Linked DNA regions of Pelodiscus sinensis. The protein of the gene in region 1 purifies or fractionates together with the protein of each later gene. This does not show direct contact. Links are inferred from orthologs where the notes say so. Each region holds a gene or a part of one and is shown on either strand. Other genes may lie near its edges. The genes, in order: DNAAF10, POLR2J and POLR3E.

Region 1 (3,748 bases):
CCACTGAAAAGTTACACTTCCATCTAAAAATGTGTACCTATCATTTCTAATATCACTTGAGCTGAAAAGAGGAGAAAGTGGCTGCTTTTTTCTAGTTACACCCTTCAGCACACGACTTACTGGTCTCATTATTTCCCAGCACGGTCATGTATCATGTGTGTATACAAAAAACAAAAGGAGAAAACCCATGAAACAATTCCGTAGCCGCAAAACCAGAGAAGTTTACGGGTGGAGTCAAGATTAGGTCTAGCGCCCTCGACTACTTTTCTTGCTTTAAAAAAAAAAAAAATCAGCTTTCAAATTAACAACATCGCTCAACACGACAGCTTCATCGGCAGGGAGGTGAAACCTAACAACTTCTCCGCTGCCCCCGGTACTCCCACTGCGCCCTTATCTACAGCCCTAAGGCGACAGGACACCCCCCCCCCCAAACCCCGGGCTGCCACACGGCTGGCGGCCGGACCCAGCTGTGAGCCACGCTAGGAGCTCGGCCTTGGCACGGAGGCGGCGCAGGGGAGCTTCTCCCCCATGGCGGCCCCCGGCGAGCAGGGCTCGGTGACAGCGGACCGGGCAGCGCGGGGCCCCGGAGCGACACCCCCGAGATTAGGCCCAAGGCCCGGCGCGTCCCGTCTCACCCTGAGCGCGTCCGCGGAGACGGGGGGGAAGTTGGGCCTCTTGCTGGGCCGGGGCTGCCCCGTGTCCATGGGGGCCCCGCCCCGCTCCAGCTCGGCCGCCCGTCGCTTCCGTTTGCCCCGCCGGGGGACCTTGATAAAGCCGCCGGCCTCCGCCGCGCCCTGGGTCTGCGGGGCTGGGACCCCGGCCCCGTCCTCCACCGGCCCTTCCATGCAGCACCCCACGTGCGGGCGAAGCCGGGCTAAAAGATCGACGTAGCCCGGGCCCACGGAGACGTCACTTCCGCCCCGAGTGATGCCTGCCGCGGGAGCACTGGCGTGAGCCCCGGATGTTGCCGTTGCTCGCTGGGCACCCGGCTCGTGGTTGAGTCGCCGCAGGCCGCGGCGGTTGGGGCGGCATGTCGGGCGCGGGGATGGAGAAGCCGCAGCTGATCGCGCACGTGCAGCAGTCGCTGAACTACACCGTGTTCGAGTGCAAATGGGTGCCGTGCAGCGCGCGCCTGCTCTGCCTCGGCAGCGTCCCGCGCGGCACCGGCCTCATCCAGCTCTACGAGCTGCAGAGTGGCCGCCTCAGCCTGCTGCGCGAGGTGAGTGTCGGCAGCCGCCCGGGCGCTGCTCCCCCCTGCCCGCTGGGCTCTGCCGAGGGGGGGTGCCGCTCGCCCCCTGAGCTCTGGTAACCTCTTTACGACCCCCCCCCCCCCCCGCCTCTGAGTCTCTTCTCAGGCCCCTCAGTGTCTCCTCCCTCCCCCGTGAGCTGCTGTCCGCTACAGCGGGTGCCAGGACCCGCAGCACCTGCTCCCTGAGGGTTGGTTGCCATGGTAATGTTGGGGCACGCCGGGCCTGCCCAACCCAGGGTGCTGGGCAGGCGGCCCCTCAGCCGTCTGGCCGGGGTGTAGGGTGGAAGCACAAAACTCTCCCCTTCCTTTGAAAATCTCCCTCCCTCCCCCGATAAAGATGCTGTCAGCACCCCGCTGATGCAGTCTGCAAGAATGGTCTCATTTTTTTCCTCACACACCTTGCAGATGAAAGGAGGAGAGGTCTGGTAAGACAATGTAGTCCTTCCCCCTGCAGTCACCAATAAAGAACAGGAACCCCGGGTATGTGGCTGTCTCATAGACTTTAAGGTCACTTCATATGCTGCCTTCTAATGACACTTTTTGCCTCAAATGACTAGAACCCTGTATGGATACGTAATTCGTACCCGCATAAATAATTTTCGAGTGTAGATACCAGCACATAAAGAATATCCAAAAATGGAAAAATTCATCTAGAACCTTATACATCCATGTGCAGAATTAATGTTTCTGTGCACTGAGGCATGCAAACAATGTGCACCTTCAATAGAAACACACAACCTTCCTGTGGGCTCTCTGCTAGTCAGCTGGGCAGCATTTTAATTTCTCTGGTGTGGCAGGAGCACACTGCTTACAGGGAATACTGTTCTAGTGACAACATTTGTATCCACAAAAATCTGTATCCATGGAGAGCTGCATTCACATCTGTGTATGTGGATATCTTGGGATATAAAGCAGATATCCATGGATTTGCAGGATGCTACAGGTGACCCCAAAGTCATCTGGTAAAACATACGTAGTAATGAATTGCAGTCACCACTTGAGTGGAGAGTGGCATATTTCACACAGGGTACTTCTAAATGGGGATAGGGAAGGAAGGAGAATATTGTCAAGGTAAAACATGTAAACAGTGTTTCAAGCCATCCTTTTCTTTAAAAAGAACATAAATTAAATTAAAAAACAAACTTTAAAACTCAACTTTAAAATGTCTACTTCATTGACTGGTCTTACATGGAATTTCCTAGAAACTCTCCAGCTTCATTTCTCATTCTGATGCTTACATAAGAGCATACATGCCATATGCTGCCTGCACTGTGGGAGGGTGTGAAGGAATGGTTCCACTGAAGCTTTTTAAAATACTTCAGTGTCATTTAAAGATCTCCTTATATTAAAAGATTAATCTGATTTCTTACTGTTCAACTCAGGATGGCCGAACTCTTCTGTCTGTAATGTGTATTTTCCCTGTTTTGAGGCTAAAAATAGTAGGTATGTATTAGAGTAGTATCTTCATGCTGAGATCCAAAGGATTTTACGACCAGGTACCTTGCAATAATGCTGGCAACTAATTTGTTTGTTAAAATCAGCTTAAGAAGTTTTTTTGATTGGGATTAATGTATTATCGAGTACACTGTTCCTAAAAATGATTTTACAAGTCTGTACTGTACTGTATTTGGATTTTAGACTCCGATGTGCTGCCAGAATTTTAACAAGAGCTTATATATTTCTACCTCAGCCATGTCACCACTTCCATACAAGAAAAAAATCCATATCCCTCCTTTATCTCCCAAGTATAATATGCATCCTCCAGTCCAGTATTCCATGACCTTAAGTATTTCTTACTAACTTGCTGAGGTTTCTTTAGCTGGCTCCTCTACCTGGCATCCTTTCTGTTAATCAGTTGTGGGAGTGAGGAGGAAATGCCTTTCCTCCTCAAAATCCATTTCTGTCTGTTACCATCTCACAACTCTGCTGATAGCCAGCCTAAAGATTTTGGGGGCATCACCCAAATTTAATTGCTCCTTGTTAAAAGGGGTAGGATGGCTGGCAATGTTTCATTTAATCTTTTCCATTCATGCACAAATTAATTGCATTAAGGCATGTGCAAATGTGCATCACCAGTAAAAACAACAAACCTAGTTCTTCAAATCAGCTTGGCAGCATTTTAATTTCTCCTGAGAAGCTGGGCATTTGCGTGTCTAATGGGCAACAATGGTAGCTGAGGTTATAAGTTTCAACAGACTCCTGTTGTAGAGGTGGAGCCTAGTTACACTGTTGCCAGCTCCCACATTACTTTGTTGGTGTTTTTTTAGAGCTCTGGCTCCTGGATTGATGTGATTGTGAGACTCCCATCTTTCATTTTAAAACAACAACAGAGTTCCTAGCTTTCCTGGTAGTGGAGAAAAGATTGAAAATGTGACCCTGAACTCTTAAAACCCAGAAAGTAAATAAAAAGAACTTCAGTTTCTTAAAATCTCAAAAGTTTTGGGTCTTATTCTTGATTTTTTGATGTTCTATTTAGTTTTAATCTTCTTGCATCAGTTT
Region 2 (3,748 bases), on another chromosome or scaffold:
ACTCCTGCCCCATACAGAGCTGGGCGAGAGACCTAGCTCCACATAGTGGTGGAGCAGGGCCCCTGGCTCTGTAACTCGCCGGCACTTCTGGGTTCAGGGATGCGGGGTCTGAATCGGCCTAAGGCCGGCCCCACCGGCAGCCACCAGGCATGGAGAGGCCCGGTGTTTATTTCCCGTGGCCCGGTACGCTGATCTACACCGATGAGGCGGGGCAGCTGGACACCTTGTAGTGCAAGGTGGACTTGTCACCCGGGTGGGGGATCAGCTCCTAACTGAGCAAGAGGCTGCTCAGGAGACTGGAACCCAAGGGCCTGGCAGTGGCTGTCAGGTGTCTTACCCGCCCACCTGTACCCCTGAAAGTGCAGCTGGAGTGGGGGTCAGTCCTATGCCTGCAGGCTGGCCCCATGGCTGGGGCTCTGACACCCAGGTGGTTAAAGCACTAGTGCAATGCACGACTGGCACCCCACAGCTGGGGCTCTGGCACCCAGTTGGTTAAAGCTCTAGTGCAATGCACTACGGCCCACCCACCGCTGGAGCTCTGGCACACAGGTGGTTAAAAAGCTCTAGTGCATCGCACGACTGGCACCCCACCGCTGGAGCTCTGGCACACAGGTGGTTAAAAAGCTCTAGTGCAATGCACGACTGGCATCCCACAGCTGGGGCTCTGGCACACAGGTGGTTAAAAAGCTCTAGTGCAATGCACGACTGGCACCCCACAGCTGGGGCTCTGGCACCCAGGTGGTTAAAGCTCTAGTGCAATGCACGACTGGCACCCCACAGCTGGGGCTCTGGCACACAGGTGGTTAAAAAGCTCTAGTGCAATGCACGACTGGCACCCCACAGCTGGGGCTCTGGCACCCAGGTGGTTAAAGCTCTAGTGCAATGCACGACTGGCACCCCACAGCTGGGGCTCTGGCACACAGGTGGTTAAAAAGCTCTAGTGCAATGCACGACTGGCACCCCACAGCTGGGGCTCTGGCACCCAGGTGGTTAAAGCTCTAGTGCAATGCACGACTGGCACCCCACAGCTGGGGCTCTGGCACCCAGGTGGTTAAAGCTCTAGTGTAATGCACGACTGGCACCCCACAGCTGGGGCCCTTTGCTTTGCGCTCAGCCCGACGCTCACGCTGTGCTGGGGAAAGCCGCGGGGGCTGCTGCCCAGCTGATGCGGGGGGGTCGTGAGCGGGGACCCCAGTCAGTCCCTCTGCCCGCTGTGTCTCTGCTGAAGGGCGGCGGTGAGCTGAGCCAGCGGCTCGCGGCCCTGCGGACGGTGCGTGAGCGGCGCCGCGATGCTGCTACTATCACCCGGGGGGCTCCTGCCGTCAAAAGGCTAGAACAGGTACTGCGCATGCCCGGCCTCTGCCGGCACAGGGGAGGGGGAGTCCAGTGAGAGGCGCAAAGAGCCTAGGACGCACGACGCGCGCTCGGGTGGCGACCGTTGCCGCCGTTCTGCCGCGGGCGTCACTATGACGTTGTTCCGGGTGGATTCGGCGGCGACGGGCTGAGTGCCCCGGAAGCGGAAGCGCTGGGACTGCCGGAAGCGGAAGCGGGCCCTGCTAGAAGCCGTTAGCGCCGCAGGATGAACGCGCCGCCAGCCTTCGAGTCCTTCCTGCTCTTCGAAGGGGAGAAGAAGTAAGTGCGGGTGGGACTCCACCCCCTCCGATCTGGACCCGACCCCTCCCTCAGTCCCCCCCCCCCCCCCACGAGCCGGACCCGCCCCCTTCCTCAGCCCCTCAGTCCCCCCCCCCCCCGAGCCGGACCCGACCCCTTCCTCAGCACTTCACCCGGGGTGACCCCTTTCTCAGACACCCCCCTCCCCCCCCCGTCGGACCGCTCCAGACATCGGCTCATCCCCCCTCCCTCCCCACACTCACTCTGCTGCGCTCACTCTGTGGTAGTGCCGCGGGCTTGGCCGCAGCTCGCTTGTACGAGGCCCCCCTGGGGTCAGGCCTCTCCAATAGCTTGCACCACGGGAGCTGTCGGCCCATCACCACTACTCTGCCCGAACCTCCTGGCCAGTTGTCAGCAGTCTGCTGGCCCGAGTGCTCACCTGGCCCTTAGGTAGCAGGGATTCCTTTCCAGCCATAACACTGAGTGTGCAGGGGGGCAGGTTACCTCAGGGACTTGTGGAATACCCAGCTGGAAGGTTTTTAACGGGAGTCTCAAATTCCTGGGCTGTCCCTGATGGAGCAGTTGCACAATTTGGTCCAGGAGCCCGCATGGCGGTTCGATCTCCAAGCCTGGCCTTTTTCTGCTACTGCCCTTCCCAAATGCTTCCCCAAACCCCACCTATGGGCTTTGTGGTGGGCACTAGGTCTGAGGGGAAGGAGGGGAAGCAGCTGCAGACCCTTGCTTGAGAACCACAAAACTAGACAACCTCTTGAAGTTCTTTCCATCCTGCATTTCTATTACAGGTTATACCTCCCTGATCTGGCACCCTTGGGACCTGACCAGTCCCAGATGAGGAATTTTGCCACACTCGTGGAGGTCATTTCACTCCATCCCCAGCCCACTAGCTCCCCCTCTGCCGCCTGCCCTGCCAGGCTTCCTGGCCCCGCTGGGCAGCCCCACTGCGATGCGCCAGGCTCCTGTCTGCCAGCCCTCCTCCAGGACACTCTGGTACTGGAACATCTGTGGTCCAGTGTTGCCAGACCAGAGAGTCCTGCTTTAGAGAGGTTCAATCTGTATTGTAAAAATCTCAATAATTGGCAGAGGGGCTTCCAGTTAGGTGGTAGACCATAAATATGTCTCCAATTCAGAGATGGTGTCACTTGACATTAAGTGTGTACAGTCCTAGGAGAGACAGTCAAAAGTAGGTGGGTCCAAATTAAATCCTTTAATTTCAAATCTTGCTCTGTTCTGCTCTGACATTTGGTACATATGCTATGTTTTGGCTCCTTTTACCTATTCTGAGTTCCGTAACCAAAGTTATTGGTTAAGTGAGAATTTCAGAAATACAAACTGATAGAGGCAGCAGTTGGGGTGGAAGCAACTAGTTGAGGGAGGCATCAACTAGTCAAGGGACTAGTTGACTAGTCGCTTACATCCCTAACTCTGAGGCTGACTAATTTACCCACAAAGCTTTTCAAATTAATGTTTGCTAAATTAACCTTTTGTTACTGCACTGTGCATAGAGTAATTTTTGGCCCATTGAAGAGTTTTCTCTTGCCAATAACAATATGCAGCTACAGCTGTGTGAGAAGCACTTGTTGTTACACTAATTTTTAAATTAGCAAGCTGTGCTCTGAAATTCTTTCTTTTCTTATGTCACTGTTGTGCTGCTGTAGCAATGCTGTTAGGGTTCTGTGAATTTTTTCCTTCTGATGAATCAGGATCATGATTCCATATTGACTTCATAAATTTGTTTATCCAAAACATGTACAAAAGTATCTATCTGGTGTGAATCAAAAGATAAATGTTGGATATTTATAGAATGGCTTGGTTTAATTTGTTAGCTCGCATAATTTGATTTAATACTATTTTTTTTAATTCAGGATCACAATTAATAAGGATACAAAAGTACCAAATGCCTGTCTGTTTACAATCAACAAGGAAGATCACACGCTTGGAAATATTATTAAATCGTAAGTCAAGTCACTTCCTATTGCACAGTTATAGGAGTACGGTAGCAAGGCAGTGGATTACATTTAGCTAGGATGGTTGCCTGGGTGCACAGTGACTAACCAAACACCAGATAACCTAGCATGCAGTCCGGTTTAGGAGCATGTTTGGGTGAGGTCTGCAGGCC
Region 3 (3,748 bases), on another chromosome or scaffold:
GGGGGATGGATGAAGGGAGGTAAATGTCTGTGAGCTAATGATATTAGAGGTGATAATTGGGGAAGCTATCTTTGTAATGGGGAAGATAATTAGCGTCTTTATTCACTTGAGTGTAAAGTGTCGAATTTAAGCATGAATAACAGTTCAGAGGATTCTCTTTCAAGTGAAGTCTTAAAATCAAGTCATTGAGACAATGTCCTTTCTGGTTGAAATGTCAATAAACTGTTTTTTCTTTGTGATCCTGTCTGATATCTGTTTTGTGGGCATTGATCCTTTGGTGAAGTGTCTGAGACGTTTGTCCAATGTACATAGCAGACGGACACTTTCGGCACATGATTGCATAAATTATATTTCTTAGACGGCTGTTTTACCACACAGCAGTGAGAAGAAAATGCCTAGAGGCTATAAGCTTTTCAAATGAACCAGGCTTTGATTTTTCAGCAAGAATTGTTCAAGAAAGAAAAAAATACATCAAACTAGAACATCCCGGGCAAGAGATACCAGAAATGTAGGCTTTTCCTGCCAAATTGCAGGCCTCCCTTATGGGGGGACAATTCACACTCATGGCATTGTGATGTTGCAAAGGCTTGATATTTGCATTGTAATGTTGCAAAACTTTGGGTTGATGCTGCACTGTGGCATTATATAACAGAAGCTTCATTGGGCTACTGTATGACAATTCTCTGATACACAGTGACATCACATTATTACACTGCCGTACTAGGATACTGAGTTTTGTAAAAGTTTGACACCCATTTTTATACTTAGTTGTTTCACATTGGAACAGTGACATGCCCACACTATTAGTGAGCAATGGGACATCCCTCCAGAACTTCAAGCAGCTCGGGAGCTCTGGAATGATTGCTCTAATTAATGCAATCTAAATGCAAAAATACTGATTAGCCAAACTTACCTGTTTGTACCTATTGCTAATATTATTTCTTACTATCTATCTAGATCAGTGATCTGAGCTTATTCATGTACTTGAGTTGCAAAATAGTTTATCTTCTGAAAAAAACTATTTTTAAACAAAAAAAATCTATAATGGAAGCAAGTGCATTCAAGCCCTTCATTTCTATGTGAAAGACTCTCCATAATTGAATATACCTCCAAAGCTTCTGACTATACAGAAGCTACAGTATTGGAAAATTATAAGGGAAAAAATACGAACCATCAAATGAATACACTATAGGAAGAGCTACATCCCATGTCGGTAGCGTGGCCGAGCGGTCTAAGGCGCTGGATTAAGGCTCCAGTCTCTTCGGGGGCGTGGGTTCGAATCCCACCGCTGCCAGAAAGCTTTTGTGCTTCTGTGTTTTGCAGGGGACCGCACAGCGCCGCCTGCTGCCACGCGGAGAACCTTGACCCCGCCTGGGAAGCATTGTGGGTAAGAGGAGGAACTAGTCTCCCCACGTGTCTGCTGCTGGAGTTACATCAACATGGCTGCTGCATAAGAGACCCCGGGACCCGCAAACCCATTGCAACGCGCCGAAGGGGGGGACCGGCTGCCCCTGGACCCCGCGCCACGAGGTAGGGGGGCTTGTGTGGTGCATGGCTCCGGCCCCTAGTGCTGCGCAGGGCGTTGCAGCTGCTGCGGGGCGCGTTCCTTTGCAAGGCCTGGGCTGGGGTGCGCGCTGCCTGCTGCAGTTCCTGGGCTTGAGCTCAAAACTCTCCCGGAGTCTGAACTCATTCGCCGGGAACTGCCTGGGGAGGGGGACCTGGGAATAGCTGGGCAGGGGTTGGGGATGCTCTGCATATCTCCCCCCCTCCCCCGGAATGATGCGGGGATGACTGCTGAAATTCACACGGTTTGCTTGTAATCAATCAATCAGTCTTCCTCTCTGCCTCTCGCCTGTGTATGTGGGGGGGCGTGCAGTGTCCCCTCCGTGCGATTGCTGCATGGTTACATCAGTCGTCTCAGCCTCACACCAAAGTCTAGTTATGGGCTAAGAATTGAAAAAAAGACTTGGCACCGTCTCTCTTTGCCTTTAGAGTATCCCAGGACTAGGAAAGAGTCAGATTTAACATGAGATTGTAGATAGGTGTGGAATCTCTTCTCCCTGAGGTGAAGTGGTTACATCGGCCATCTCTTTGGGGAGGCTTCTTCTCCTACCTCCCCCCAAGCAGTAAGCAGAGTTTGATAACTCCTGCCCCTCCAGCTGCTTCCCCTGTCCTGGAAGAGTGAGTAGTGAATGGCACAGGTACATGCACCTCTTTCTGGCCATCTGTGTTGTGGCTTGTTTAGGAAAAGCTTTACATCCTGATTCAAACTACCAAGTCATTCTTGCTCAGAGCAGGATTTTTGCAATCAATAGTTTAAACCTATGTTTTAAAAGCTGGCTAAATTGACATGTTTTGCTGTAATTCCCTATTTACTGTTATTGTGCTGGGAGAAAGTAGACTTACAAGCTGCTGGAAAAAATAATTAAAAACCTTCTTATAGCAGAGGGTGGCATCCAGTATGAAGGCCCAGCAGATACCAGGCACGATGTGTCATGCCTGTAATTTGGAGCTTTCACTGACTCACTGACCAGGTGACCTACCCTTTGCACTGGGTTTTCTTTGATTATGCTGTGGTTAGGGAGAAGCTATTTACTAATTTCATTCATCCAGCTACCCTGACACTGAAAGAACAAGCTTAACATTTAGTACACAAATGATATTTATGGAAATGTTAAGGTTCATGTACTGCCTGGCTGAAGTAACCATTACTGGAAATAGAAGCCTTGATGCACACAGTCCCAATGTTTTGGTTAATTAACAGAATGTGGTTTTGAAAAGGAGAAAGTGAAGGAGAGAACCTTGTAAATACACAGTTGTCTTCCTGTAGTTCTCAAACTAACATAGGCATTGTGCTGAACATCACCTGATCAGGATCTGGGCCAGTGTTTGAATGAGAGACCTCTAAGAAAAACCTGAGTGCTACAGGAAGTGACAATGCTAATTCAGAAGATGTCATTCTTCCCTTTTTAGTGGTTATGAACCAGAGCTTCTGCATATTAGTAGAACAGTGATTCCCATCTCTGTGTGTACCGTGACCCCATGTTGCACCAGAAAAATGTTTCAGGTCTCCCTGTACCTCAGTAATTTCAGGGGCCCCTCCATTCTAGCCATAAAGAGAAGCAGGTTAATTGTGAGCTGCTGGATCTATTTGTGCAAATCATGTTAAGAACCCATATCTGAGGGGGCACTATGGAACTGGAGATGCTAGCTTTCAGATGAGACACAAAACTGAGGTTCTGTCCACTTGTGGCCATCTTAAGATCCCATAGAATGAGAACAGATGTGTTACCTCATTGTTTTAGCTGAATTCAAACTTGGGGCAATCGAATTCTTGCTCATTAAATGCTACATGCAATTTAAATTAGATGGAATTTTTTTACTTGTTCTAAATTGAGCAGCTGTTAATCAGCTGCTTACCCCATCCCGCTTAACAGTGTTTTAGTTGTAGGCAAATTGAGATCTTTGCATGTATTACCCTACAGCTGTTTGGGGGGGGAGGGGATGTGTTAAAATGTAGTTAACTAATAACAGTGAGCTCTTTAGATGGACATACCTTCAGCAATCCAGAATCTACCTAAAAATAGTATTTGCACCATCTACTAAGTTGTATATTGTATCTTTTATTTCTCCCAATGTTTATCTTAATTTAATTCCTTTACTTTTTCCATTGTTCATGAACTCTTCTTCTGATTACTGTATTTCTGTTGAATAGGTCTGGCTCAGAGCTGTCTGTATGGCTTCCCAT

The links.
Region 2: the proteins of DNAAF10 (region 1) and POLR2J purify together in Homo sapiens (affinity purification with mass spectrometry; 3 studies listed by BioGRID and IntAct, with this or other methods). This does not show direct contact. The link is inferred for Pelodiscus sinensis from reciprocal best matches to the Homo sapiens genes DNAAF10 and POLR2J.
Region 3: the proteins of DNAAF10 (region 1) and POLR3E purify together in Homo sapiens (affinity purification with mass spectrometry; 3 studies listed by BioGRID and IntAct, with this or other methods). This does not show direct contact. The link is inferred for Pelodiscus sinensis from reciprocal best matches to the Homo sapiens genes DNAAF10 and POLR3E.

What each region holds. Positions count from the first base shown.
Region 1 is NC_134713.1:181,847,161-181,850,908, forward strand, and holds the start of DNAAF10 (dynein axonemal assembly factor 10), read left to right. Parts: upstream 1-906; 5' UTR 907-1,030; coding exon 1,031-1,219; intron 1,220-3,748. Other genes in the region: RNA-binding protein PNO1, read right to left, coding at 636-845. UniProt on the Homo sapiens protein: Key assembly factor specifically required for the stability of axonemal dynein heavy chains in cytoplasm.
Region 2 is NC_134731.1:15,827,616-15,831,363, forward strand, and holds the start of POLR2J (DNA-directed RNA polymerase II subunit RPB11-a), read left to right. Parts: upstream 1-1,475; 5' UTR 1,476-1,579; coding exon 1,580-1,632; intron 1,633-3,494; coding exon 3,495-3,584; intron 3,585-3,748. UniProt on the Homo sapiens protein: Core component of RNA polymerase II (Pol II), a DNA-dependent RNA polymerase which synthesizes mRNA precursors and many functional non-coding RNAs using the four ribonucleoside triphosphates as substrates.
Region 3 is NC_134726.1:22,733,907-22,737,654, forward strand, and holds the start of POLR3E (DNA-directed RNA polymerase III subunit RPC5), read left to right. Parts: upstream 1-1,373; 5' UTR 1,374-1,530; intron 1,531-3,715; 5' UTR 3,716-3,748. UniProt on the Homo sapiens protein: DNA-dependent RNA polymerase catalyzes the transcription of DNA into RNA using the four ribonucleoside triphosphates as substrates.